Diceros bicornis minor: one gene and its partners. The protein of the gene in region 1 interacts with the protein of each later gene in a pairwise test. Links are inferred from orthologs where the notes say so. Each region holds a gene or a part of one and is shown in the gene's direction. Other genes may lie near its edges.

Region 1 (6,864 bases):
CCTCTGTGACGCGAGAACTGCAGGCTCAGGAAGGCCTGAGCCTTCCTGAGTAGGGGTATAGGCCCTGCGGCCTGGTGGGAGAAACCGCGCGCGGCGGCCGGAAACCGGGGCGTCGGCCCGCAAGAGCCCCGCCCTCCTGGGCAGGATCCCAGGCGGGAGGCGGGGCCGGGGGCGGGGCCTGCGGCAGCGGGAATCCCGAGCCCGCCCCTTGCCCCACCCCTCGGTTTCTCGCCATGGCCCCTGCACTGCTTCTGGTCCCTGCTGCCCTCGCCTCTTTCATCCTGGCCTTTGGCACTGGAGTGGAGTTCGTGCGCTTCACCTCCCTTCGGCCACTTCTTGGAGGGATCCCGGAGTCTGGTGGTCCGGGTGAGCGGGAGGGGTCGAGAATGAGCTCTAGGGTAGGGAGGTGGGGCCGGAGACGAGTGAGCGGGGCGGGGCTTGGAGACAAATGACAGGGGAAGTCCGGAGAGGGAACTAGAACCGTGAAAGCCACCGAGAAGCGGCCGGGGAGACCAGAGGGCTAAATTAGGAGCTCAGGGATTAGCGGTTTGGAGAGGCGGGAGAGTGAAGACTCAGGGGGAGGGAAAGGGCGATAAGCAGAGTATTCTAAGGAAAGTGCTTTGTAGAGAGGACTATGGAGAGGAGAATGTTAAAAACAGGGAGCATTTGGAGAACCGAAATAAGAGGGGCAATCCAATGGTAGCCTTTCCAGCCATGCCTTTGTGACTACCCAACATGAATCCTCTTCCCCAGCTCTGAAGGAGACCTGAAGAAGAGGGAAGAAACAGGGAATGGAAAAGCGAGGTGGGGAAAGCCTGGAGAGGAAGCATTAAGGCTCTTGAAAGCATTAAGGGACATGGCCTGAGGCCCCAAGAGATGAGGGTAGGAAGTGTTTCCCACCGTCTTCCTGATCTTTTGTCCCTTTCTCCAACTCCCCCTAGATGCCCGCCAAGGATGGCTGGCTGCCCTGCAGGACCACAGCATCCTTGCCTCCCTGGCTTGGGATCTGGGGCTCCTGCTACTATTTGTGGGGCAGCACAGCCTCATGGCAACTGAGACAGTGAAGGCGTGGATGTCCCGGTACTTTGGGGTCCTTCAGAGGTCACTGTATGTGGCATGCACTGCCCTGGCCTTGCAGGTATGAGGCTCTGGCAGCTGAGTCCCCAAGGGAAACAGAGTATGTGGGAAGGATGCCCTAGGTTGGAGGGGCAAGGATCTTAGGCTTCTGATAAAATGTGGGTTTAGGAGAACTGAGGGTGTTAGGACACTAATCTCAGCTTCCATTCCTCCACAGCACACATTCTACTTTTTATCAAGAAGGGTGTACTGCTTGTCATTCCCCAAGCACAATATGTGCATTCTCACCTTTGCAACTTTGTTCATGTTGTCCTGCTTGAGATCCCCTTGTTAACTCCTCTTTGGTCCTGCCCTTTCTTCAAAACCACTTCCCTAGGTCTCAAGAGAAGGCTTCCCACTTAGTACCTGTTTTCTCATTGGGTGCTTGGCATAGGCTACTTTGTGTACCTATCTGGTCACCCCCATCTGTTCTGTAAATCATCTGAGTAGAGACAGGTCATCCTTACCTCCTTAGAACCCCACCCAGCACCCTCCACATGGTGGATGTTTGTTGGTGAGGCTCATGGTAGAGGTGGGGAGAGCTGCAGGCCACCCTGGGGTGGGGGTGGCAGGCAGCATCTGGGTCTAGGTCTCTCGAGGGTGAGCTGCTGGGATACCCAGTCCCTCATCCTTCCCCAGCTGGTGATGCGGTACTGGGAACCTGTACCCAGAGGCCCCGTGTTGTGGGAGGCTCGGGCTGAGCCATGGGCCACCTGGGTGCCCCTCCTCTGCTTTGTGCTCCACGTCATCTCCTGGCTCCTCATCTTCAGCATCCTTCTCGTCTTTGACTACGCTGAGCTCATGGGCCTCAAACAGGTGAGGCTCCCAGATCCCTACCTGAGACCTCTGATCGTTTCTAGAACACCTCTTTCCCTTCCAATGATTTCCTTCCTCCTCCTCCCATGCTCTTCCACCTTCCTCTTGCTTTCAACTTCCTCACTTCTCTTTCTTATAAGACAGTCACCCCTCAGCCCTCCCTCAAAGGCCAGAAGCTATGGGCCTCCCAGGCTTGGGGAAGGTTCATGAACCAGAGATGAGGGTCAGGGGCCCAAGTCTCAGAAGGGTGGTTCCTGGGCCTGACTTATAGGAGGGTGCCTGGAAGGGGAGGAAAGAGGCGGCTAAGTTGCAAAAAGGGCTTGACTCCATTTCTAAGCTGTTCCCCCTCTCGTAGGTGTACTACCATGTGCTGGGGCTGGGCGAGCCTCTGGCCCTGAAGTCTCCCCGGGCTCTGAGACTCTTCTCCCACCTGCGTCACCCAGTGTGCGTGGAGCTGCTGACAGTTCTGTGGGTGGTCCCCACCCTGGGCACTGACCGCCTCCTCCTTGCTCTCCTCCTTACCGTCTACCTGGGCTTGGCTCACGGACTTGACCAGCAAGACCTCCACTACCTCCGGGCCCAGCTGCAAAGAAAACTCCGCTTGCTCTCCCGGCCCCAGGATGCGGAGGCCGAATGAGGAGCTAACCCTGGTTCCAAGCCCTGTATTTCCTCTCCCTGTGGAATTCCAAATCCCTTAACATCCAGGCCCTGGCTGCTTCAGACCAGAGGCCCAAATCTATGAACTGAAAGGGGCTGTCCCTTCCTCTGGTTAAGACTCCACTCCCTGAGTCCCGCTCCATACCCTAAATTCTGAGTTTCCGCCACTGGACTCCAAGGTCCATTTCTCACCAGCCAGGAAGAAGGGTTAGGAAACTTACCTGTCTCCTCACAGTTTAGGTCTTAAACCACCCCCCTGCCTCCCGCCCCCCCTTAACAACCTCCTCACAAGGAGAAGGGTCTGGCCTGACCAGTCCCCTGGCACTATTACTGCCTCTGCGCCTCAGGGATCCCCTTATCCACGTCTTGCTTCCCTAGGAGCTCGACCCGGGTCTGCAAGTTTGATGGTGGTGTCCGCCCCTTCAGGCTCCATGCCTTGCATCTCAGGGCGGCCCCACTGGGTGGCTTCTCCACCTCCTTAGGCCCCGCCTCTGGGCTCCGTCCTCAACCTAGTTGAGGATGCTCCCCCTCTTAATTCGGGTGACTAAGGGCTCCCTGTTCTCCAGAGGAACACGCGCTTCAGGAAAATAAAATTGAGCCTGGTTTTTCTCCACATGGCATGCAGTCTGTCAGTGTCTCTCAAGCTTCAGGGCTGAGTTTGGGAAGGAAGGCGAGCCAGAGCCTGGGCGCGCCGAACTCGACTGGGCAGCCACCGCGCCCTCTGGCGACCGCTGGGTGGCGACCACTCGCCTTGGACCGACCCCTACCTTCCCGGAGCGGCCCAGTCCCCCTTCCTCCAAATCTCCCAATTTCTCTGCTGTAGACCAGGGGATCCATGGGAGACAGGTTGAAGCTAAAAAGAGTAGGGCAGCGGCTCTGGTAGGGGAGCGAGCTTCCAAAGCGCCCGGCTTGCAAGCGCCCCGCCTGCCACCGCCTCCCCACGGGCCCCCCGCCGCCTGGCGGAGACCCTGGACCCCGCAGTAACAAAGGCGGGCCGGAGAAGGCAAAAGCGTGGGGAGGAGCAGCGGGAGATGGGAAGGGCGGGCCCGGCTCGGAGCAGCTGCTGCTTCCTCCCTAAGTCTCTCGAGGGGCCTGAGTCACGGGCCGCCGCCCTGGGTCGGCGAGGTGGGGGCGGGGGTCTGGACACCTGGGTTCTTCAGGGCTACCGGGTGAGAGCGGGGTGAGAGGCCCTAGGGACAGAGCACTGGGGGCCAGGGGTTGTGGCGCGAAGCGGGGAGTCCGGGGGCGGAGTCCCACGCGGGGTCGGAGGGAGCGAGGCCCCGCCCCCTCCTCGGGCTCCGCCCCGCGCCCCCTTCCCTCTCCCCATTGTCCTCAGACAAAGCGGTCGCCGCCCCCTGCCCGGCCCCCAGGTCTCTGTCTCCGTCCCTCCTCCTCGGCTCCCTCTTTCCCTCCTCCCCTCCCTCCCTCCTCCCTTCCCTCCTGTCTCCGGATCTCCCTCGAGCCCTCTCTCCTCCTCTTCCTCTCTCCTCCTCTCTCCGGACGCCAGGCTCCTCCGCACCCCCTCCCCTGGGAGTCCCGCGGCATGTGAGTTGACTGAGGGGCTTCAGACTTGGGGAGGGGGTGTCTCCTCCCTCCTGTCCCCGCTCCCGTCCCTGGCCCGGACACCTTGGGCTGTCTCCTCTTTGTGCCGAGATTGTCTGTCTGTGCGATCAGAGCCGGGTGGGGATGGCCGGCTATGTCAGGGTGCCATGAGAGCCGGGACCCCGGCACAGGACTCGCAGGCTCGGGAGAGAAGAGGCGTGGAGCCGGTCCTCCCCGCGCCTGGGTCCCGGGACACAGCCGGTGGGGGAGACAGGCGGTGGTGACGGTCCTGGGGGCAGGGGACGGTGGACGCCAGGGTTCTGGGAACGTCCTGGCAGCCCAGACACCCGAGTTCTGAAAGTCCCCGGGGGAGGGTATTTCCCCTGACCCGCCTTGGGGCGGAGTGCCGGGCGGAGGGGTGGGGGCTGGGGCCGGAGAGGCGTGGCCCCAGCCGGGCTGGAAGGGGAGCCGGACCTCTGGGGCCCGCGCCGAGACGCGCCAGCCCGCAGCCGCGGAGCTCCCTCTCCCCTCTGCCCCCTGACTCCCCCTTCTCCCCTAGACCTCTCCACTCTGCCCCTCCTGACCTCCCCAACACTGCCTGAGGTCCCGTTGCCCCCTCTCCGGCAGCATTCCCTGACCTCCCTGCCCACCCTCACCGCCCCTGGGGTGGCGGTGAGGCAACCTCGCCTGAACCCTGTCCCCCCTCACCCCCAGCCTCTCTTTTCTCTCTTCTGCCTCATGCCAGCTTCTCTTTTCGTCCTTCTCTCTTCCCACATCCTTGAGACTGTCTCTGATACCCCTTAACCCCTTACTGCCAAATCTGACTGGTGCCTCTGCCTTGCATCTCTACTCTTCCTCTCACCACACCCCCCACCACCACCACCTTGGCTCACAGCTTTTTCTGCACTTTCTTGGTTTTCCCCTTTCTCTGCCCTCCTCTTCTCCCTCTTTCCCACTGTCCTCACCCTCAGCTCCTCTGCCCTTCTCTGTGTACCACCTCTCCCCCTCCATTTCCTCTCCCCCCACCCCCAGTCTCACCCCCTGGGCCTCTCTGGAGCCTCTCCTTCCTGTTCTCTGCCCCCAGTGCTCCTCATCCTCACCTCAAGGCGACCATGGCCACCATTCCGGACTGGAAGCTACAGCTGCTAGCCCGGCGCCGGCAGGAGGAGGCTGCTGTTCGTGGCCGGGAGAAGGCGGAGCGGGAGCGGCTGTCCCAGATGCCAGCCTGGAAGCGGGGGCTCCTGGAGCGCCGCCGGGCCAAGCTTGGTCTGTCTCCTGGGGAGCCTAGCCCTACGCCTGGGACTACAGAGGCTGGACCTCCGGACCCAGATGAGTCTGCCGTCCTCCTGGAGGCCATCGGACCAGTGCACCAAAACAGATTCATTCGGCAGGAGCGCCAGCAGCAGCAGCAGCGGAGTGAAGAGCTACTTGCAGAGAGAAGGCCTGGGCCTTTGGAGACCCGGGAGCGGAGACCCAGCCCTGGGGAGATGCGGGATCAGAGCCCCATGGGAAGAGAGTCAAGAGAAGAGCGGCTCAGTCCCAGGGAGGCCAGAGAGAGGAGGCTGGGGATAGGGGGAGCCCGAGAATCGAGTCCCAGGCCTTCTGAGGCACGGGACTGGAGGCAGAGCCCAGGAGAGGCTGGAGACAGGAGCTCCAGACTGTCAGAGGCCCGGAAATGGAGGCTGAGCCCTGGAGAAACTCCAGAGCGGAGTCTGAGACTGGCAGAGCCTGAAGAACAAAGCCCCAGGAGAAAAGAGATGGTGGAAAGTAGACTGAGCCCAGCAGAGTCTGATAACCAAAAGTTGGGCCTGACAGAGGCCCATAAATGGAGATCTGACTCTAGAGAGTCTCAGGAACAGAATTTGGTACAACTGGAGGCTTCAGAGTGGAGGCTGAGCACAGGAGAAGAAAGAAAAGACTGCTTGGAGGAATGTGGGAGAAAAGAAGACAGGCCAGTTCCAAGGATGGCCCCAGAAGAGATTACAGGGCTCTCAGAGACTCTGACACGAGAGGCTCCAGACAGCAGCTCTGGAGGAGTGGAGGCAGCAGAGCAGAGGCCCAGCCCTGTGGAGGATGGTGAGAAGGGCTTGAGGCTGACAGAAGGGTGGAAATGGACCCTGAACTCTGGGAAGGTTCGAGAATGGACACCCAGGGAAACAGAGACTCAAACTCAGAAACCAGAACCTCCAGAGTCTGCTGAGAAGCATCTGGGGCCTCTTGGTGCAGAGGCTGGAGATGGGGAGGCTGAGAAGGAGGAGGCGGGGGCTCAGGGCAGGCCTCTGAGCGCCCTGCAGAACCGCTACTCTGCACCCTCCCCCCTCCCACCGGAGGAGGCCGGGACTGGAGGCTCTCAACTTCAGGAAGAGGAAGCACTGGAACTCCGGCCCCCACCAGCAGCCCCTCTGTCTCCCCCACCCCCAGCCCCACCTGCCCCCCAGCCCCCTGGGGATCCCCTCATGAGCCGTTTGTTCTATGGAGTGAAGGCAGGGCCAGGGGTGGGGGCCCCCCGCCGCAGTGGACACACCTTCACAGTCAACCCCCGGCGGTCCATGCCCCCTGCAGCCCCCGCCACACCAGCCACCCCTGCCACAGCTGATGCTGCAGTCCCCGGGGCTGGGAAGAAGCGGTACCCGACTGCCGAGGAGATCTTGGTTCTGGGGGGCTACCTCCGCCTCAGCCGCAGCTGCCTTGTCAAGGGGTCCCCTGAAAGGCACCACAAACAGGTAGGGAGCA
Region 2 (7,936 bases), on another chromosome or scaffold:
AAGAAATGGAAAGATATGCAATGCACATGGATTGGAAGAATCGACATAGTTAAAATATCCATACTACCTAAAGCAATCTACAGATTCAATACAATCCCAATCAGAATCCCAATGACATTCTTCGTGGAAATAGAACAAAGAATCCTAAAATTTGTATGGAACAACAGAAGACCACGAATAGTGAAAGCAATTCTGAGAAAAAAGAACAAAGCTGGAGGCATCACAATCCCTGACTTCAAAATATACTACAAAGCTATAGTAATCAAAACAGCATGGTACTGGCACAAAAACAGACACACAGATCAATGGAACAGAATTGAAAGCCCAGAAATAAAACAACACATCTATGGGCAGCTAATTCTCAACAAAGGAGCCAAGAACATACAATGCAGAAAGGAAAGTCTCTTCAATAAATGGTGTTGGGAGAACTGGACAGCCACATGCCAAAGAATGAAAGTAGACCATTATCTTACACCATATACAAAAATTAACTCAAAATGGATTAAAGACTTGAAGGTAAGACCTGAAACCATAAAATTCCTAGAAGAAAACGTAGGCAGTACACTCTTTGACATCAGTCTTAGCAGCATCTTTTTTGTTTTTTTTTGCTGAGGAGGATTCGCCCTGAGCTAACATCTGTGCCAATCTCCCTCTATTTTGTATGTGGGTCACTGCCACAGCATGTCTGCCAATGAGTGGTGTAGTCTGCACCCAGGAACCGAACCTGAGCCACCCAATGGGAGCACACTGAACTTAACCACTAGGCCATGGGGCCAACCTCTTAGCAGAATCTTTTCAAATACCATGTCTACTCAGGCATGGGGAACAAAAGAAAAAATGAACAAATGGGACTACACCAGATTAAAGAGCTTCTGCAAGGGCCAGCCCCGTGGCTTAGCGGTTAAATGCACGCGCTCCGCTACTGGTGGCCCAGGTTCAGATCCCAGGCGTGCACCGATGCACCGCTTCTCCAGCCATGCGGAGGCCACGTCCCACATACAGCAACTAGAAGGATGTGCAGCTATGACATACAACTATCTACTGGGGCTTTGGGGAAAAAAAGGAGGAGGATTGGCAATAGATGTTAGCTCAGAGCTGGTCTTGCTCAGCAAAAAGAGGAGGATTAGCATGGATGTTAGCTCAGGACTGATCTTCCTCACAAAAAAAAAAAAGAGCTTCTGCAAGACAAAGGAAACCAGGAACAAAACAAAAAGACAACCCACCAACTGGGAGAAAATATTTGCAAATCATATATCCAACAAGGTGGTAATCTCCAAAATATATAAAGAACTCGTATAACTCAACAACAAAAAAACAATCAACCCAATCAAAAAATGGGCAGAGGATATAAACAGACATTTTTCCAAAGAAGGTACAGATGGCCAACAGGCACATGAAAAGATGTTCTACATGACTAATCATTAGGGAAATGCAAATCAAAACTACAATGAGATATCACCTCACATCTGTCAGAATGGCTATAATTAACAAGACGAGAAATAATAAGTGTTGGAGAGGAGGTGGAGAAAAGGGAACCCTCATACACTGCTGGTGGCAATGCAAACTGGTGCAGCCACTATGAAAAACAGTATGGAGATTCCTCGAAAAATTAAAAATAGAAATACCATACGATCCAGCTATCCTACTACTAGGTATTTATCCAAAGAACATGAAATCAACAATACAAAGAGATCTATGCACCCCTATATTCATTGCAGCATTATTCACAATAGCCAAGATGTGGAAGCAACCCAAGTGCCTATCAACTAACGAATGGATAAAGAAGATGTGGTGTATACATACAATGGAATAGTACTCAGCCATAGAAAAGAAAAAATCATCCCATTTGCAACATCATGGATGGAGCTTGAGGGTATTACGTTAAGTGAAATAAGCCAGACAGAGAAAGACAAACACCACATGATTTCACTCATATGTGGAAGATAAACACATGCACAAAGAGAACAGATTAGTGGTTACCAGAGGGAAAGGGGTTTGAGGGTGGGTGAAAGGGGTAGAGGGGCACATATATATGGTGATGGATAAAAATTGACTCTTGGTGGTGAGCATGATGCAGTCTATACAGAAACTGATAAATAATAATGTACACCTGAAATTTCGCAATGTTATAAACAGTTATGACCTCAATAAAATAGTAATAATAATAAAACATATATCCACACAAAAACTTGTACACAAATGTTTTAGTAGCATTATTTATAATAGCCAAAACATGAAAACAACTCAGATGAAATGGGAAACAATGCAAATCAGCTGATGAATAGATAAACAAAATATGACTTATCCATACAATAAAATATTATCCAACTCTAAAAAGGAATGAAGTACTGACAGACTACAACAGGGATGAAACTTGAAACCGTTATGCTAAGAAAGAAGCCAGTCACAAAAGACCACATGTTATATAATTTCATTTATATGAAATGTCCAAACAAGAAAACCAATAGAGACAGAAAGTAGATTAGTGGTTGCTCAGTGCTGGTGTAAATGAAGGACTGCAGGCAGTGATAGCTAAAGAGCTCAGGCTTTCTTTTTGAGATGATGTAAATGTTCTAAAATTGACTATGGTGATTGTTGCATATATACGCAAATATACCAAAACCATTGAATTACACACTTTAAACAGGTGAATTGTACGGTGTGTGAATTATGTGTCAGTAAAAATATTACAAAAGTAGTTAGTATAACACATGGCAGTTCTGAGCTAAGAAGAAAGCAGGGGCTTTGAAGTCCAACAGTTTGTGTTAATCTAAGTCCTCCAAAAAGCAGGTACCAGATGGGATTAAATTTGCAAGAATTTTATTAGGGGAAACACCTGTGTGAGTTAAAATAGGGAGACAGATAGGAAAGGCTGAGAGAGCTGTCTTGTCATGATGCAAGTCTCACACCAAGTGAAGGAGGAGAGGAGGGAAGGTTTGGAAGAAGCATCCTAGACTGCCATGCCCCTTAAGAAAGGTTTGGCAAAGCTGCCAGGGTTTGGCAAGGCTCCAGCCAAAATTCGCCATCAGAGTAGTTTTGTGTCAACCAGAAATGGATCTGCCTTAGTATCTTTGCTACACTTTGTCATCCGATGGGAGATGTCCATGGGAAGCATGTCCTCCATGCAAATATATCGATGGATTTCAGACTGCAGCTGAAACCTCTGGTCAGTCACGCTCCCTGTAGTTGGATATCTACCACCACATCCTCATGGCCATCACGCACACTAAGGTTCAAATCCCAGTTCAATGACTTACTAACTATGTGACCTTGCACAAGCTCCTCTCTCTGAGTCATAATTTCCTTCTCTGTAAGAGGGGGATAACAGTAGTGCCTACCGCATAGGGTTGATATGAGGATAAGACAATGTGTATAAACTGCCTAGCACACAGTAAGCACTCAACAAGTAGTAGCTACTACTAGCATTGTATTTACTACTACGACTATTTCTTCCTAGATTTTACGAACTTCCATTAAAAACAGTGGTTATCATTGTCTATATATAATGAGTATTCTGTTTACTTAACATCATATTGTAAATCTTTTTCCACGTTATCATTTGCTCTCACTAAATATTTTAAAGGCTGCATTATATGCTATAGAGTGTACATATCCTAGTTTACTTAACCATTCTCCTAATCATTAGGCCTTTTCAAAAATTTTTTTGCTATTTTAAAAAATTTAGTGGTGGACATTTTTATATAGAAAAAATTTTCCCCTGTGTTTGAGATACTTCCTCAGGGAAAACTAGATTAAAGAGTGTGAATATTTTTTGTTGTTGTTGTTGGCATATTACTCCTTTACTAGAAATTGTAAAAATATGGAACGCTTCACAAATTTGTGTGTCATCCTTGCACAGGGGCCATGCTAATCTTCTCTGTATGGTTCCAATTTTAGTATATGTTTAGTATATGGAACTCTGTATAGTTCCATATTTCAGTATCTCATGCCGAAGCGAGCATGCGAGTGTGAACATTTTTTTGCTAGGAAAGATTGGCCCTGAGCTAGCATCTGTTGCCAGTCTTCCTCTTTTTTTTTCTCCTCCCCAAAGCCCCAGTATGTAGTTGTAAGTCACTGTAGTTCTTCCGTGTGAGCTGCCACCACAGCATGGCTACTGACAGAGGAGTGGTGTGATTCCATGTCTGGGAGCCAAACCCAGGCCACTGAAGCAGAGCTCACTGAAGTTTAACCACTAGGTCATCAGGACTGGCCAAGAGTGTCAACACTTTTAATGCTCCTGATCCATGTTGCCAAATTTTCTCTCCAGAGAGGTGGGGCCAGTTTACATTCCAACCAGCAGCATATGAGAGTACTCACTGCTCCCTTACCCTGCCTTGGGTATCATTTTTATATTTTTAAATATTTGCTAACTGGAAAGTCAAAATGACATCTAATTTATTTGTTCTCTGTTACTCACAAGGATGGACCATTCTCTAAATGTTTTTGTACAGGTAATATTATATACAAAAGTAATTATTTTGTGACTTGTCCTTGCATGGTAAACTATTAAGATCTTAATTTTTTTAATTAATTCATACAATTTGCTTAATAATAATTGCCTGACACTTCCCATTATTTTCCCTTTCGAGGTTTTTTTTTTAATGTATAGGAGTCTATTGTTAGTCAAATCTATTTATGTTTCTTTTGTCATTTCTTCTGTCTCTTTTAAGCTTAGAAAGCCCATCCTCCTATAGAAAGCAAACTTTTCTTTACAGATAGTTCAAAGTGAAACCACAGCCCAGCTGCTCAGATAGTTTAAAAAAATTGTGAATGAGCGGAGCCCAATCTAATGACTCCCTCCTACAAGGCCATCTCAGAAACGAAGTTTTCTTCCTCTTTTTGTGTTCCAGCACCCAGAATATCCGCTATTAACCGTCCAGGAAGGATCCTTCTTGTGCAAAGGTGCTGCCCAGGTCCTCCAGAGCTACAATGGAGGAGGAAGCTGGGGGGGCGCCGGCAATGCACAGGTCTACTGCCTCCAAGAACTTTCACTTTTATCACATGGATCTGTATGACTTTGAAGACAGACTGCATATCTTCCCAGAAGAAACCACTCGGATGAGAAGAGAAGTAGTCCAAGCTGAAATGACCAGTGAGCCAAGAGGGGCAGCGAAAGGTAAGCCTCAAAAAGAACTTGAAGAGGAAGTGGATGAACTTGTCCATTTATATGGACTTGAAGATGATCACGAATTAGGGGATGAGTTTGTTGATGAAAACATGCCCAGAATAGAGGTTTCAGAATATCCTCCTTATGGGATGATGAGGAGAGAACCAGCCGGGGAGCAGAGAGACTGGAGACTTAGTGGAGAGGCAGCTGAGGCAGAGGACCCAGGCTTCGGAAGGTGGGGCTCGGCAGGCCAGTGCCAGGACTTGCGGGAAGCCTATAGGTACACACGTGGCCGTGCCAGTGAGGAGTATGAATGCTACGTCATCCCAGAGGAGGAGGATGAGGAAGAAGCTGCTGACGTCTTCTGCATCACTTGCAAAACTCCAGTAAGAGCTTTGGAGAAGGTTTTTGATGAACACAAAGAGCATGAGGTGACCCCACTCAATAAAGCACTGGAAATCGCCAAGGTAAATAGGTCTCCTTGGTTCTTCTTTCTCTGGATATTGCATTTATATCTCAAATGTGCAGGCAGGGAATAAATCTAAAATGCCTTCTACAAAAGAGAGAGAGAAAAGATGTACCATTAACATCTTCTTGTGATCCTCTGTTGGATAGGATGAAATTCACAAAAATATGTACAAATTGGAAAAGCAGATTATCGAGATGGAAAATTTTGCAAGTCACTTAGAGGAGGTTTTCATCACTGTGGAGGTAAGAGCACACTTGATGAGCCCACCAGACACACGTGGCTTCCATTAGTGGCTGGGTCAGCAGCTGTGTCTGATATGATTTGGAGAACCTGCTTTCTTAGAATGGGTGGCGTCACTACTGCCCCTCTCCCCTCACTCCTTCCCCTGCCCTCCCATGGCACCTTGGGTATATGCCTCAGGGCACCCACCACCTGTCAGCAATCCCTACTCAACTAGAAGCTCTCCGTGGGAGACTGTGTCTTCTGTGTCTATATATCCCCAGTCCTACTACAAGGTAGGACTCTTTCACGCGCCAGCCTTGACAAGGCATTGCAAAACACCTATTCTGTCATTAATAAGTGTGCTTTTCCTCAGCTGTTATCTATTTCTCACAAGATTAGTAAGTTTCTGTGCCTGCCACCAAACATGTCACAGTCCCCTGGGTGGACCTAATAGGTATGTAGTATACCGCTGTGATGCCAGCACTCAACCTGACCCTCCAGATGAGGTATACCGAGACTGAGGACCAGGGGACCGTCTGTCTCCTCTCTCTTCATGTGGATGCTCTAATCCTATTCATGCAGCCTCAGACTGTATCAACAGGAGCACTCCATATGAATTAACTAAGCCCCAGGCCCCTTTCCCGTGAAGCCTCCAATCTGAAAAGGGAGGAGAGCTATTGCACTAATCCCCTATGGAAGGCAGAGAAGGGACAAGCCCTTCCCCTTCCAAGCTTAGGGTAGTGCTAGGAGGGGTCAGTGTGCAACAGCCAGGACAAAACTCCCTACACTCTGTACTGCCAGCTCACTCTCAGATCAAAGTGTCTTCACCTCAGTGAGGACTCTGAGATCTTCCTTTTACACTTAACTCAGGGAAGTTGTCTACCGTCTTTCCCTCTCTTCCACCATTCTAAGCAAATCTTACGCACATAGTAGGCGCTCAGTAAATACTCCCTGAGTGATTGATAAGAGCCCCTTCTTTGGAAAGTCCCTGTTATGGGTGAGGATGACATCAGTCAGAACCCGCAGAGCTCGCCTGGGCTTCCAATCTAAGGAACAGGGACCAGGAATCCATATGCTCTGACTAATATTTCTCATCCATTGTGCTCCAGGATTATGTACGGTCTCAACCCTCCCTCTGTCTTCCTGACTTTTCTCATCTATTAGGCAGCACCATCTGGCCACAACCCTTATTCCCCTTCCCCTTCATCTTTCTCTTAGTTGATATGAGAAAGCAGTTGATATCTCTCAGCAGATATGAGGATCTGCGTGATCCTGGTGTTTGTATAATCCAAGCATTGAGGGGTGGAGGTGAGTGTCATGAGATGTTGAGAGCTCAGGAGGGAAAGATAAGTGGGAATCGCCCAGAGCAAACATCTTCATATTAAGGTCCAAGGTTCCAGTGACAGGCTGACTCATTCATCACTGATAATCTCCCTGGTTGGTTGTCATGGTGATGAAAGGTGGCTAAAAATGGAGTGAGGAGGACGATTGCAAAATGCTGCCAGGAGAGAAAGCAGTGCTTTTTGTTAAGATTATCCCTGAGGTTCTAGCTGGAGACTCCTGGGTCCTAGCTCCCCCAGTGTCCATCACAGCATCCTGGCAAGAGATAAGACTACGTGGAGGGACTAAAATAGCTACAATATAGATACATTTTCATGCCCCAAATGACTCTGTTGTTGACACACCAGATGCACTGAAATGATGACTGAGGGGAACTGTCTTGCAGGAGAATTTTGGAAGACAAGAACAAAACTTTGAGTCACATTACAATGAGATCTTGGAAACACTTGCTCAAAAATATGAAGAAAAAATACAAGCTCTAGGGGAGAAAAAGAAAGAGAAGCTGGAAGCCTTGTATGGACAACTGGTCATCTGTGGAGAAAACCTTGATACCTGTAAAGAACTGATGGAAACAGTAGAGGAGATGTGTCATGAAGAGAAGGTTGATTTCATCAAGGTCAGTAATGAAGTGAAATGAAATATTGAACTGAAATGACAGTTATAGCTGGAGTAGCTTAGGTTGTTCCTTCTTCACCTGGAGGTATTGGAATTGCCTTTTATGGTCAGAAGCCATTTGGTTCGACTCGATATTCACGATGGTGAGGTTGTCACCTCCTCTTTCTGCACAGCTTTGCCAT
Region 3 (7,613 bases), on another chromosome or scaffold:
TCTGAACCTGCAAACCCAGGGCCGCCGAAGCAGAGCGCACGAACTTAACTGCTACGCCATCGGGCCAGCCCTTAAATACACTTATTTTTAAAAGAAAATATTTCACCACTATCATAATAGAAAACAAAGTATTTTCCTAATACACATTAAAATAAATATCCAACTATTAAAAAATGTTTGGCTGTGCACCACCTAAAATAATCATATATACCACACTTTGAAAACACTTAGGTAGTCAACACAGTGAATATAGGACACTATGCTTGAAGATGAAGTAGAAAATTGCTTTAGGCATGGTCTAATCTTAATCTCCTCAAGAAGTCAGAGATAAAATTGGCCCGAATAAGTACAAAGATACAAAGTAGAAAATAATAAGTGTCCTAAGAGAGGTATGCATGAAGTACCATGAGAATTCCCGTGCGGGAGTTCTGGCAGGGAGTTCTGGGAAGTCTTGGATGTTGAGGCTTTTAAGCTGGTGCTTAAAGGCTAAGTAAAATGTGTAATTTCACAAACGGGAGGAGAGCATTACAGGAGGAGGGAACATTATGTACAAAGGCAAGAAGACGGAAAAGTTTATAATTCAGTTTGCCCAGAGCCTAGGATTTTGAAGGGGTGAAGTGGAAAAATAAGGCAGGAAAAGTAAATTCCAGTCAGACTCTTGAAAGCCATTAGTTCTAAGGGCTACAACTGAAGGAGAAGTGTGTGGGTAAGAGTGTTAGAGTATGTGAAGGAGAGAGTGGTTCTGATTTGGTTCAATGAATTACACCTCAGCTACCCAGTCACATGGTTATACCCTAGATCTTGCCAGAATCTACACCTCTGAAATCACTAATTCAAGCATCAAGTTCTCTACGCACAACTTCCTGAGCTTCCCCAGCTCACTTGCTCAAGTAACCCCACTGCAACAATTCTTTGACTTCATGAATCCTCCAATTCACTTTCCCCCTCCTACATATGCTTTCTCTCTTTTTATCAGTTTCCTCCAATCTTTGCTTGCTCCCTTTCCCACTTAAATTCCTGAATTTATTATCATTATCACTCTTGCAAATATCTTCACCTCCCTAGGCAATACTCCAGAGTATTCCCGCCACAAAGCAGAGAATCCAAGTATCTTCTCCATACTTGCACCTGTGTAGTTCAGGATTGTTGGAGGCAATCACACCACTGGGCAGGTTAATGATCATCAACCCTCAACACTGCTGGAAATCCTCATTTCTCTCTGATTCCCCTGCTCTCTGAAACAACTGTTTCTTACCTTATTCACATTCTTCAAATCTCTCCCTCCTACTCCCTGCTATTGACTTTGCCTCATACTTTATTGAGAAAACACATGCCCATCAGATAAAAACGCCCTCATCTTCTTGTGGATTTTTTAATGAAAATAGCTTTTTTTCTCCTAATAAAAATATGTGTTCATTGTAGGAAACTGAAAAATATAAAGAGGAAAGTAAAGATTTTCCCAAATCCTACCACTTAAAGATAAACATTGTAAATATTTTGGTAAATATTCTTCCAGACTTTTTTTTCAAATATGCATACAATTTTACATAAATGTATACCTTCTGTATAAACTTTTTTTTTTACGATTACGTATTAGTGGGATTAGTTGGCTCCTGTAGCCACTTATGTCGCTCCCTATTCACACCCAGGTGGAAACAATCCCAAGAGTTTTTTAGTCACTCAAATCTATATAATTATACCTTTTTGAGTAGTTGCTAACTTTTTTCTTGTTTACACTTAATGGTAGGATATAGGCATTTCCCTAGCTTTATACCTTTAGATTGTTTTCTCAGCAACGTTTTTAAAGGCTGTATAAGTATTCCACTATCTGGTACTAATGTACCCTAAGTTGTATAACTAGGCCACATTTAACTAGGTGAACATTTAAGGGGTTTACAATGCTTCAGCGAATGTTTCTGTTAATCTGTCTTCGCAAATTTTTCCAATTTCTTCTTTAGGAAAATTCCTAGAAGAGGAATTGTCTGGTAACAGGGTACACACATTTAAGATTTTGATACATATTGCCAAATTGCCATGCAGAAAAGTTGCAATAATTTCTTGTAAAAAAAGTTGCAATAAAATCTTGTAAAACATCATTAGTTTTCCTTTTTGATTCTGGTTTTCAGATAGTGTTTATATTTTGCCTTTGTGTTTATAAAATATTCACTCATATTTTCTTTTAGAAATTTTATGATTCAGTTTAATCTTTGGTTAATCTAGAATTTATTTTGGTATGTGAAGTGAGGCAGGGATCTAGTTTTATTTTTTAAAATGACTATCCAGTTGTTTCAATACTTTTTCGTGAGTAACTCTTTTCCCCAGTGATTTGAATCATTGCTCTATATATTTGGGTCTGTTTCTGGACTCTCTTTTGTTCCATTTATCTGTCTGTACAATTACCACACAATTTTATTTACGGTAGTTTTAATGTCTGGTATAACAAGCCCCTGTCCCTTACTCTATTATTGCTTTTGTTTTTATAATTTTCCTGACTATAATTGCATATTTATGCTGAAAGTGTTTTTGTTCTTTTAACAAGATATAATGCTACCTTATTAAGTAATTTGCATTCTTCGTTGCTTACTCTCTTTTAATCCACTCTATTAATGAGAATCTTAATTAGCTCTCATTAGATTCCAAGCTGTTCACCAGCCTTATGTACTATTTCACCATTTTTGCTTCAATTTTTCAAAAGGTAGGAGCAGGAAATTTATAGTTTATGCTAGGGTAAGGGAAGATAATCTACGGCATTTTGAATGCCTCTTAATGGCATTTTACTACTCACTCTTGCATATCCTCCTCAATATGCACCTGCTTCTTTTATTATCTCCTTTCCTCTTCTCTCTCTCTCTTTTACTTTTTTTCTGTCCTTTTAATTCTCTCTTTCTTATAGCATCTAGGGAGGCCATCTAGATCAAAAACAAAAATATTGGAGATACTCATACAACATAAGGGTTTCCACCCTTTCTGCATATTTTCCTTTATTCACTGGCCCTTTCAATGCAGTGGTGCCTGCTCAGTAGCTCTGACTTTGGAGTCATATTTACAGTCAGTATTAATCAATAGAGTCATTTGATTCTGTATGCCTTATATAATCCTGGATAATATAATATCCATTCTACTACAGACATTATTAATCACTAAGAGCTCTAAGATGTGTGTGAAGAGACCACTGCAGGCTTGAGAGCTGAGGTCTAATTATCGCCCTATTTGTTCATCTGTTCATCCATGAACAAAGAAGTTATGGTAGAGCCAGGGGCCTGGGTGGGATGATGAAAGTTGGGAGCCCTTAGTTTGCCAACCAGGAAATGGGGAACGATAATGGGAACTAACATTTGTTAAGTATGTACTATATGCCAGCCACTGTTCTAGATGATTTATGTACACTATTCTATTGAACCAGAAGCCTAGAACTACTTTTATTCCCATTCTGCAGAAGAGGAAATTGAGGTCCTGAGATTCTAAGTAGCTAGCACCAGGTCACAAAGTATGCGGTGCATGAGGATTCAGTCAGCTATGGGACACTCTACTGCCCTTTTCCACCAGACTTCTTCCTCTAATTTAGCAATCTAGGATTGTGAAATGAATACCAAATTGCAAGATGCAAAAGAAGAGAAGTTAATAGCAGTACTTTCTCTGTTTTCCCTTTTTTCTTCACTCTATGTGATCTAGATGCAGAAAATTTTGAAGAAGGAAAGAAATTATTTTTAGAAACTCCATCTTTTCCATGATAAATAATCACTGATTTTGAGTCTTAGGGTCAGAAGGGAACTCTGTTAATGTTCCCAGAATTGAAGCCACAATCTCTCTTCTTCATCCTGTTAGCCAGTTCCCTAGCTGACTTGACTGAGGTGCATAAGGCTTAAAAGAGGGGTATGTGAGGGAAGAAGTGGGAGGCTTGTTAATGTTTTTTGTTTTTGGTGCTTCTCCATATTTGGAGGCATCATGCCATAACACTGTTGTCTCTGAGTGGAGCTTTAAAGTAGAGGCCAACTCCTTGATTGCAAGCATCACCTATAGATTCAGCTGGAATCAAACATGTTTACTTACATATTCCATCCCCATCCCTAAAACCATTTGTTTGGAGATGGGTGGGACCCCTGCCCTTGCTGTGAGCCTGTAGAGGAGTCATTAGTTAGTTTCCTTCGGATTTGACAAGGACAGGGCAGCAGAAACATGTCTTGGAACTACAGGGTTTTTCAGTTTCCTCAACTTCTGATATTGCTGACCTTCGCCACTCACGATTAATCAGTGGGCAACATTGTTCCTTCCTTCCTCCCTCCCTCCCCTCTCCTCTTTCCTCTCCCTCGTCCCTACGTCCCTTTTCTTTCTTTTGAAGGCCTGCTCTCCTCTTTCCCATAACCCTGGCCATCTGCACTCTTCCCTCAATAATTGTAGTATGCTTCCAGTACTGCACCATACTTCCTTACGCTCAGTGATTCTCACCCCTGCCCTCTGAACTAATCCCCAGGATTGAAGGCCTAGACTGCGCCCCAAGGCTTAGGCTCGCGATGTGAGATAGACAGTAAAGGCCAATAGGAAGTGGTCTTTGATTGACGTCACTGTAGGGGGAGGAGCTTTCCAAGCGTCGTCGGGCACTGTGGACGGAGTTTGTGGAGACAGCACTGTGGCACGTTGGCGGTCCCGGCTGAGGTGACTGATTTAGTAGGTAGGAAGGGCTAGAGGAGGGTCAGGTACGGGTCAGTTGAGTGGTTTATAACTAGCAAGAAGATGCGGCCATTAGGTCAACACTTTTTAGAGTGGCCCTGAGGCAATGATTTTGAACCACAGAGCTGCTGTAGCTGACTCTCAGGTGAAAGAAGATGGGCAGAGGCAGGATTTTTTGACTTGGATGAAGTATGGGGCGCATTGTGGGGTCATTGAAAGCGGGAGACAGTAGTTATTGTAGTTTGGATGTGAAGGACCTACATTCCGTTGAAGCCGTATGGTTGGTGACTGTTGGGGGCGGGGAGCTGAAGGCGCGCTAGCTGGGTCTGTGAGAGCGGGAAAAAGGCCAGTGAGTGATTGGGTGCTTTGAATGTATGGGCGGTGGAGAGAGGGATTTTGAACCAATTAGGAGGAGGCAACGAGTACCAGCCAGACAAATCACAGGGTACCCTGGTTTCCTGGTTGCCAGGCGGATTATGGTAAGAAAAGATTTGGGATGAAAATTTCCTCCGAGCCAGATTCCTGTGACATGACTCCTGGCCCCACCCCTCGTTAACTACTTTTTCTGAGTTTTAAAATTTCTTCAGCATTTTTTTTCCTTTGGGTAACAGGTAACTGGAAAAATTTCACTGAAAAGAAATTTATTGAGGAACTGGAGGATAAAGGACAGAAGATTAAAATTTTTTTTTATTTCATAGGCTTGAGCCAGAGATTTAAAAATGGACGATGTTGATTTTCGTTTCATGGACTTTAAAGGTATATAGCTTTACATGGTAGTAAAGAAAATGTCAAACTGTTTGCTGCCTTATCTAAAATCTTCTAAATGTATTTTGTTTCTGAATTTTATCTCTTTGGAGTATCCATAGCTCCAAGTTTTCTTATTTGTGTACCAGAAAAACAATGTAGATGTTTAAGACACTGGAACCCTTTTATATGCTAGTGTAGGGAAACTGAATTCACAATTCATAGCTTGTTTTCTCAGGATTTTTATTGCATGCAAATTAACATTGGTTTAATCTGAAATAGAAATCTACTGCGTTAAATGTACATTAAAAAAATTACTGCAAGATCCTGGAGTGCCTTTCCAAAATCATCAGTGAAAAATAAATTATATCCTGTATAGTTTTAGGTTTAACTGCATTTTATTGTATCTTAATTCTTTTGAAAATTGGTAATCTCTGTATGGTATTTATGGTAATTGTTAATAAAAGCAATTTGACTAGAACAAGAGATTCCTCAACCGTGCCAGATATGGGAATGTTTACACTATTTCTTTTTTTCTGGGTACATGATTAGACCTGTGATACATTCACATTCATATATTCACATTCATATATATTTCACGTTATTCATATAATAATGACATATGTGTAGCCAGGGTGGCTACAAATCCATGATTTAAAAATGTTTAGGTCAATATTTTGTTAATTCTTGTCATTTTAGCACAACAGCAACAAAGCCCACTACCTCTTACCTTATGTTTTAATTTAGGATATGGTATCTTAAAGATATAAACATGGAATAAGGATTATGACTTTTAAGTATATTGTATTTGAGCCCTTGTATTTATATAATATTTGAAGCACACAGAAAAGTATAGAAAATAATATAATGAACACCTGTATACCTACCAGTAAGTTTTGTTGAATCTTAACAGTTTGTCATATGCTTCAGGTATTTCATTGTTTCAAAGAACTAGAAGATTAGATGCACCGGTTAGTCATCTTTGAAAATTTTACATAAATTGTATCATTTTGTATGATTTTTTTCTGTAACTTGCCTTTTTTTGCTCAGCATTATGTTTTGGATATTTACCCATATGGATATTTTAGCTCTAGTTCATTTATTTGCCCTGCTGATTAGAACTATTACGTTGAATAGAAGTACAATTTATTTATCCAATCTCCTTTGTTGTTGTTTCAAATATGTTGTTTTAACATATGAGTTGTTTTAAATATTTGCTGTTACATAACAACAACACTACAATGAACATTGTGTTTCCAAGAGCTTAGCAGGAGCTTTCAAGCATTTCTGACTACCACTCATGGCAAGGAAATATATTTTACATCACATCCCAGTACATACACACCATAGCAAAAGTTTGAAACAGTCTTACCCTTATTACACGCAGTGCACTATGATGTTTTCTATTCTATGCTTTTTAATTAAAAAATGCTGGTTATGACCAACTAAATTGATTTATTTCTTGAGCACTAGTGGGTGAGGATCTAGGGCAGTACTGTCCCATTGAACCATAGTGCAAACACAAATAATTTTATATTTTCGAGTAACCACATTAACAAAAGCTTAAACAGATGAAATTAATTTTAACATTACAAATTATTTAGCTTAGTATATCCAAAATGTTATCATTTCAACATGTAATCAATACAAAAATTATTAATGACATATTTTACATTCTTTTTTTTCTTACAAAGTGTTTGAAGTCCAGTATGTATTTTATTTATACTTAAAGCATATCTCATTTTGGACTTGCCACATTTCAGGTGCTCAGTAGTCACATGTGGCTAGTGGCTACCCTCTAGTGGCAGTGCTGTTCCAGGGTATATACATTTAGGAGTGGAACTGATGGGTCAAAAGCTATGAGCATCTTTAACTTTATAAGTATTGTCCAATTGCTGTCCAAAGTAGTTTAACAATTAATATTCCCTCTCTCTTTCTCTTTTCCCTATATCCTTGCTAATATTTGGTATTATCAGACAAAAAATTTTGTAGATGTGAAGGGTATTGTTGTTTTTAATTAACGTTTTATTTTGGAATAATTTTAGATTTACAGAAAAGTTGCAAAGATATTGCAGAGAGTACCCATATACCCCTCAGCCAGTTTCATTTACCCTAATGTTATCATCTTACATAGGTGTTGTTTTAATTTGCATTTCCCTGATAACTAGTAAAGTTGAGTGTATTTTCATAGATTTATTGGC
Region 4 (6,960 bases), on another chromosome or scaffold:
AGACCTACACCACTCGTCCGTATTGGCCATGCTGTGGCAGTGGCTCACATACAAAAAGAGGAAAATTGGCAGCAGATGCTAGCTCAGAGTGAATCTGCCTCAGCAAAAAAAAAAAAAAGAAATAAAAAAGGAGATGTTACAACTGATACCACAAAAATACAAAAGATTATAAGAGACAATTATATACCAACAAATTAGACAACCTAGAAGAAATGGATAAATTGCTAGAAACATACAACCTACCAAGACTGAATCATGAAGAAATAGAACATCTGAATAGATCAATTACTTCTAAGGAGATTGATTCAGTAATAAAAAACCTTCCGGCAGACAAGAGTCCAAGACCACGTTGCTTCACTGGTGAATATTACCAAACATTTAAAGAATAATTAATACCTATCCTTCCCAAACTCTTCCAAAAAATAGAAGAGAACACTTCCAAACTTGTTTTACAAGGCCAGCATTACCCTGATATGAAAACCAGACAAAGACTCTACAAGAAGAGAAAATTACAGGCCAATACCCCTGATGAACACAGATGCAAAAATCCTTAACAAAATATTAGCAAACCAAATTCAACAATACATTAAAAGGATCACACACCATGATCAAGTGAGATTTATTCCAGGGAAGCAAGGATGGTTCAACATCCCCAAATCGATCAATGTAATACACCACATTAACAAAACAAAGGATGAAAATCATGACCATCTCGATGCAGAAAAAGCATTTGACAAAATGCAACATTCATTCATAATAAAAACTCTCAACAATGTGAGTACAGAGGGAATGTACCTCAATATAATAAAGACCATATAGGACAAGCCCACAGTTAACATCATATTCAATGGTGAAAAGCTGAAAGCGTTTCCTCTAAGATCAAGAACACGGCAAGGATGCCCATTCTCTTCACTTTTATTCAACATCGTACTGGAAGTCGTAGCCAGAGCAATTAGGCAAGAAAATAAATAAAAGTCATACAAATTGAAAAGGTAGAAGCAAAAGTGTCACTATTTGCAGATGATATGATATTATATGTAGAAAACCCTAACGAATCCACTAAAACACTGTTGAAACTAATAAGTGAATTCAGTAAAATTGCAGGATACAAAATATGCATGCAAAAATCAGTTGCATTTCTATACACTAATAACAAACTATTAGAAAGAGAAATTAAGACAACAACCCCATTTACAATTGCATCAAAAAAAATATATCTAGGAATAAATTTAGCCAAGGAGGTGAAAGATCTGTTCACTAAAAACTATAAGACATTGGTGAAAGAAATTGAACAAAACACAACTAAATGGAAAGATATTTCATGTTCATAGATTGAAAAGAATTGATATTGTGAAAAGGTCCATACTACACAAAGCAGTCTACAGATTCAATGCAATCCCTATCAAAATTCCAACACCATTTTTCACAGAAATAGGCCACATAATTCTAAAATTTGTATGGAACCACAAAAGACCCCAAATAGCAGAAGCAATCTTGAGAAAGAACAAAGGTAAAAGCATCACATTTCCTGATTTTAAACTCTATTACAAAATTATAGTAATGAAAACATATGGCATTGGCATAAAAGCAGACACACAGATCAAGGGAACAGAATAGAGATCCCTGAAATAAACTCACACATATATGATTAACTAATTTATGACAAAGGAGTTAAGACTATACAATGGGGAAAGAACAGTCTCTTCAATAAATGGTGTTGGGAAAACTGGACAGCCACATGCAAAAGAATGAGATTGGACCCCTATCTTACACCATGCCCAAAAATCAGTACAAAATGGAGTAAAGACTTAAACGTAAGACCTGAAACCAGAAAACTCCTAGAAGAAAACATAGAGGGTAAGCTCCTTGACATCAGTCTTGGCAATGATTTTTTGGATTTGACACCAAAAGCAAAGTCAACAAGGAACAGCCTCAGTGGCCTAGTGGCTAAGTTCAGCTCACTCTGCTTCAGTGGCCCAGGTTCGGTTCCTGGGTGCGGACCTACACCACTTTTCTGTAGTGGCCATGCTGTGACAGTGGCTCACATACAAAAAGAGGAAGATTGGCAGTGGATGTTAGCTCAGGCCGAATCTTCCTCAGCAAAAAAAAAAAAAAAAAGCAAAGTCGACAAAAGCAAAAATAAACAAGAGGGACTACACCAAATAAAAAACTTTTGCACAGCAAAGGAAACCATCAACCAAATGAAAAGGCAACCTATGGAATGGGAAAAATATTTGCCAATCATTTATCTGAGAAGGGGCTAATATCCAAAATATATAAAGGACTCATACAACTCAATAGCAGAAAAACCAATCTGATTAAAAAATGGGCAGAGGAACTGAATAGATATTTCTCAGAAGAAGACATGTAGATGATCAACAGGTACATGAAAAGTACCTGTGCTCAACATCACTAATCATTAGGAAAATGCAAGCCAAAACCATAATGATATATCGCTTCACACCTGTTAGAATGGCTATCATCAAAAAGACAAGGGCTAATAAGTTTTGGCCATAGATGTGGAGAAAAGAACCCTTGGGCACCGGTGGTGGGATTGTAAATTGGTGCAGCCACCATGGGAAACAATATGGAGGTTCCTCAAAAAATTAAAAATAGAACTACCATATGATCCAGCAATCCCACTTCTGGGTATATATCCAAAGGAAATGAAAACAGGACTTCGAAGAGACATCCACACTCTCATGTTTATTGCAGCATTATTCACAATAGCCAAGATATGGAAACACCCTAAATGTCCATCATCAAATGAATGAATAAAGAAGATATAGTATATATATGTACAATGGAATATTACTCAGCCATGAGAAAGAAGGAAATCCTGTCATTTATAGCAACATGGATAGAACTTGAGGGTATTATGTTAAGTGAAATAAGCCAGATAGAGAAAGACAAATACTGCATGGTATCACTTATATATGGAATCTAAAAAAAAAAAGGAGTCAAACTCATACAAAGAGAATTGAAAAGGGATTGCCAGGGGCTGGGGGGTGGGGGGAATAGGGAAGGTAGGTAAAAGAGTACTAACATTCAGCTATAAGATGAATTGGATGAGGATCCAGTGTAGACGTGGTAACTATGGTTGATAACACTGTATTATACAACTGAAATTTGCTAAGAGAGTAAAACTTAAATGTTCTCTTCAAAAAAAAAAAGATAAATATGGGAGGTGATGGATATGTTAACTAACTAGATGGTGGGAATTTTTTCACAATGCATACATATATCAAATCACCACAATGCACACTTTAAATATCTTACAATTATATTTGTCAATTATACCTCAATAAAGCTGAAAAAAATTCATGGATTGATGATTCAAGATGCATGTACTTTAAAAGGAAAAATCATAGCAACGATGATGAAGATCATTCAAATGAGTGTCTATTGTCTTCAAAATAAAGGGAATTGTATAGATGACAAGTGAAATACAAAATACCCCAATGCACATTTTAATTTTAGAACAAACAATTTTGGTTTCACTTCATCAAAACGATATTAAATCAATGCTGTTTATTTTAATATTATTAATTTTATAGTTTTTATGTGTAGATTGGTTTGGAGCCATAAGGAATTTATACCATGTTTATGTAACTAATATTGTATTTATATTATATTCAGCTAACAGAGTAGAAATAACCTGTTAACACCAGGTGCCGTATCTTCTTTTTCCTTGAAGAAGGGTCCACTCATTACTTAAGTTGGAAGGTGGTGTACTAGGACCATGAAAGAAATAAGGCGTGAATAGATTATGTCCCTCACTCACATTTGCACTGTAATCAATCATGAATTCCGATTTGGATGAGGGCATTTGTTTTGTAAATGTTTCTTTGTGACTGGGGATGTAGAGCTGTGGCAAAAGTTCCTGTTTCATAATTCACCTTTGCCCATCACCAACTTGTAGAAAAGAGGCTTTAAAGAAATCAGCTGGAGTGACCTGCTTTCAACACCCAGAGCCAGTGATGCAACGCCGTGTCAACTCCTGTGAAAGATTCCTCCTCATACTCGGGGCACAGAAGTAAGGTAAGGAGCTGTGGACTGACAGGAACATCTGTCAGCTTCTCCAAGGTGTCCTCAACAAGATCATCATCCCAAAGGCAGGTATGCTCAAGGAAAGACTGTCTGTTGAATCCGTGAGGTCACTTCTCAGATGTCGATCTGTTTTCACTGTATCACTTTAGTGAGTTCATCTTAAAAACATATTCATCATTTGAAACACGTTTGGTTTTTGTGGTGCCAATATTGTACTATTATATTTCCTTTAGGATCACGGAAGGATGCTGGCTGTGGTCCATGAACTCACAGGAATTATGAGCCATCTTTGAGGAGGGAATCTGTCCGTCTGAAGAGAGACCCAAAGGGAAATCAGACAAGTAAAGACGTGCAGCTGCAGCAAGGGGACAAAATGGATGAAGAGGAGGAAAAAGAGACGAAAACCATGTCTCAGCCCCAAAGTAAGGCTTTTTGGTATAGAAATACCTAGTTTATAAACCGGTAGCACAAATTCATCTACATGAACAAAATATTAATGTAAAAAAGTTTAGTCTATCTAGTGAAAATTACACTTGTTGAGAACTAATTTAGTTGTTCAAATTCAAAATCAATAATTAAAGGCTTATGACTAAACTATTGTCTGGAAAAGGCACTGCTTATTTGTTACATTCTGTTTATGCTTTTCTGTTTCACTATTAACAGTTCCGCAGGACAGCGTGATGGTGTAAAAAGGGGTTTACCAGAAGTGACTGTTGAGTAACAGTCTCATCTAAAAATACTTTTGCAACCTGTTATGCAAAATCACAGCTACAGAAAAATTATTAGGAACTGTTAAGCGGATCAGTTATACTATCTCTAGACCCAATTTTTCAGCCTGTTCTTTTTCAGGGAGAATGTTCAATTTGTATGCTTAGAGCAGCTAGTACATGCTCAACTTCAGGCCTCTTACAGCAAGTATGCCAATATATTAGAGGAAAGTTTTCACTTAACTGCAATTTGGGTTAGAATAAAAATACAACAGTGTCATTTCAGGAATTGCAGGCAGGGATAAAATGTAACTAACACCAAAATAGTGCAATTTCCACCACTTGTTTCCTACCCTTCCTTGTGTACCATCCACAGAAAAGTAAGCTTACTAAACAACAAGAAATTTGGTTTTCTATGAGAGTTATCTATTGCATTCTTTTCTTTCTTTTTTTTTCTTAGTAATTTTTCCAGGCTTACTTAGATTTTGACATTGCTCTTTGAGTGCAGGTAACAGGATAAAAGAAATCATTTGCTTTGGAAAGGTCTTATTTTTTGCTTCTTCTGTGGTCTTCGATGTTGTTCCCGGATTCTTTATTGATGGCTAAGAGTGCAGACTTCCATGTCAGACGCTGGGATTTGAACCTAGAGTCCTTTGCTTGCTGATGCAGGGACATTGGACGTTTACAGCTCATTTCCTCCTCTGCCAAATGGGGTTGAGTTGTGCACACTTCAAAAATTTGCGTTGAGAATTAAATTATATGAAAACATTAACACCATGCTTGGCACATTGTAACTGAACAATAAGTATTTGTTATCTTTAATACAGGTATTAGCATTATGGAGTTTGTACTTTTTTAATGATTTATGTTTGCTAATAATTGTACAATTAAATCTTGTGTTTCAAGGGTGGCTTAGTTTATCTGGGTTACATGTTATAACAAAAATACTCTAGACTGTGTGGCCTATAAACAACAGAAATTTATTTCTCTCAGTTCTGGAGGCTGGGAAATCTAAGATCAAGGTGCTGACAGAGTCAGTGTCTGATGAGAGCACGCTTCCTGGTTCATAGATGGCTATCTTCTTGCTGTGTCCTCACACAGAGGAAGGGGCAAGGGTGCTCTCTGGGGCCTCTTTTACAAGGGCACTAATCCCACTCATGAGCACTCCATCCTCATGACCTAATCACCTCCCAAGTCCCCACCTTCTAATATCATCACACTGGGGATTAGGTTTTAACATAAGAATTTTGGGGACACAAACATTCAGTGTACAGGAACGAGTTAGAAACTGTGTTCTCTGGTAAGCTGTGTACGTTGAGTAACGATGGCTTGTTTGCAGTACTGAAGTACAGATTTCCTCATACACCTGGAAGTAATTTTAAGTTATTAGCTATTGAAATATTTAAAACCATAAAAATTAACCTATTTACTTTAAAGTCTTATTTATATATTTCTGTAAATTACATTTTATGTAGAGAAGCTATATGCAAAAAGATTTACCTGTGAATTTGAGAATATTTTTCTAGTCTAAGTGTACTGAAGAAAAATTTATATAATATGATGTACAACATGGTTTCTTCATAAAGGTAACCAGTGGATTGAAATAAAGAGATGAGGGCTGGCCCCGTGGCTTAGCGGTTAAGTGTACGTGCTCCGCTCCTTGGTGGCCCAGGTTCAGATCCCGGGCGTGCACCGATGCGGCCATGCTGAGGCCGTGTCCCACATACAGCAACTAGAAGGATGTGCAACTATGACATACAACTATCTACTGGGGCTTTAGGGGGAAAAATAAATAAATAAAGTTTAAAAAAAAAAAAGAAGAAATAAAGAGATGACAGTAACATCAGGGAACTTTTTTTAGGAAGATTGGCCCTGTGCTAACATCTATTGCCAATCTTCCTCTTTTTCTTTTTTCTCTCCAAAGCCCCAGTACGTAGTTGTGTGTCATAGTTGTAGAGTTGTAGCTCTTCTACGTGGGACGCCTCCTCAGCACGGCTTGATGAGCGGTAAGTATGTCTGTGCCCAGGATCGGAACCCACGAAAGCTGGGCTACTGAAGTGGGCCGTGCGAACTTAACGGCTATGCCACCGGGCTGACCCCCAGGGAATATTTTTGTAAGGACTGTAGGTATAAAATTTTCAGAACAAGGATTTGGACGCTGTGCTCTAGCTACTAATTAAGAATGCTTGATCAGTTAGAGTCC

What was found.
Region 2: the proteins of PPP1R18 (region 1) and FSD2 interact in binary tests that used the Homo sapiens proteins (3 or more experiments, as listed by UniProt). The two-hybrid records come from large-scale screens. The link is inferred for Diceros bicornis minor from reciprocal best matches to the Homo sapiens genes PPP1R18 and FSD2.
Region 3: the proteins of PPP1R18 (region 1) and TEX11 interact in binary tests that used the Homo sapiens proteins (3 or more experiments, as listed by UniProt). The two-hybrid records come from large-scale screens. The link is inferred for Diceros bicornis minor from reciprocal best matches to the Homo sapiens genes PPP1R18 and TEX11.
Region 4: the proteins of PPP1R18 (region 1) and STX11 interact in binary tests that used the Homo sapiens proteins (3 or more experiments, as listed by UniProt). The two-hybrid records come from large-scale screens. The link is inferred for Diceros bicornis minor from reciprocal best matches to the Homo sapiens genes PPP1R18 and STX11.

Annotation. Positions count from the first base shown.
Region 1 is NC_080753.1:34,421,987-34,428,850, forward strand, and holds the start of PPP1R18 (phostensin), read left to right. Parts: upstream 1-3,850; 5' UTR 3,851-4,134; intron 4,135-4,584; exon of another isoform or gene 4,585-5,215; 5' UTR 5,216-5,243; coding exon 5,244-6,854; intron 6,855-6,864. Other genes in the region: NRM (nurim), read left to right, coding at 234-366, 942-1,138, 1,756-1,932, 2,288-2,569.
Region 2 is NC_080744.1:95,273,965-95,281,900, reverse strand, and holds the start of FSD2 (fibronectin type III and SPRY domain-containing protein 2), read left to right. Parts: upstream 1-4,929; coding exon 4,930-5,574; intron 5,575-5,722; coding exon 5,723-5,818; intron 5,819-7,524; coding exon 7,525-7,755; intron 7,756-7,936.
Region 3 is NC_080781.1:64,217,805-64,225,417, reverse strand, and holds the start of TEX11 (testis-expressed protein 11), read left to right. Parts: upstream 1-4,604; 5' UTR 4,605-4,653; exon of another isoform or gene 4,654-4,669; intron 4,670-4,691; exon of another isoform or gene 4,692-4,813; intron 4,814-5,155; exon of another isoform or gene 5,156-5,366; 5' UTR 5,367-5,387; coding exon 5,388-5,424; intron 5,425-7,613. UniProt on the Homo sapiens protein: Regulator of crossing-over during meiosis. Involved in initiation and/or maintenance of chromosome synapsis and formation of crossovers.
Region 4 is NC_080778.1:23,344,922-23,351,881, forward strand, and holds the start of STX11 (syntaxin-11), read left to right. Parts: upstream 1-3,948; 5' UTR 3,949-4,041; exon of another isoform or gene 4,042-4,119; intron 4,120-4,283; 5' UTR 4,284-4,423; coding exon 4,424-4,472; intron 4,473-6,960. UniProt on the Homo sapiens protein: SNARE that acts to regulate protein transport between late endosomes and the trans-Golgi network.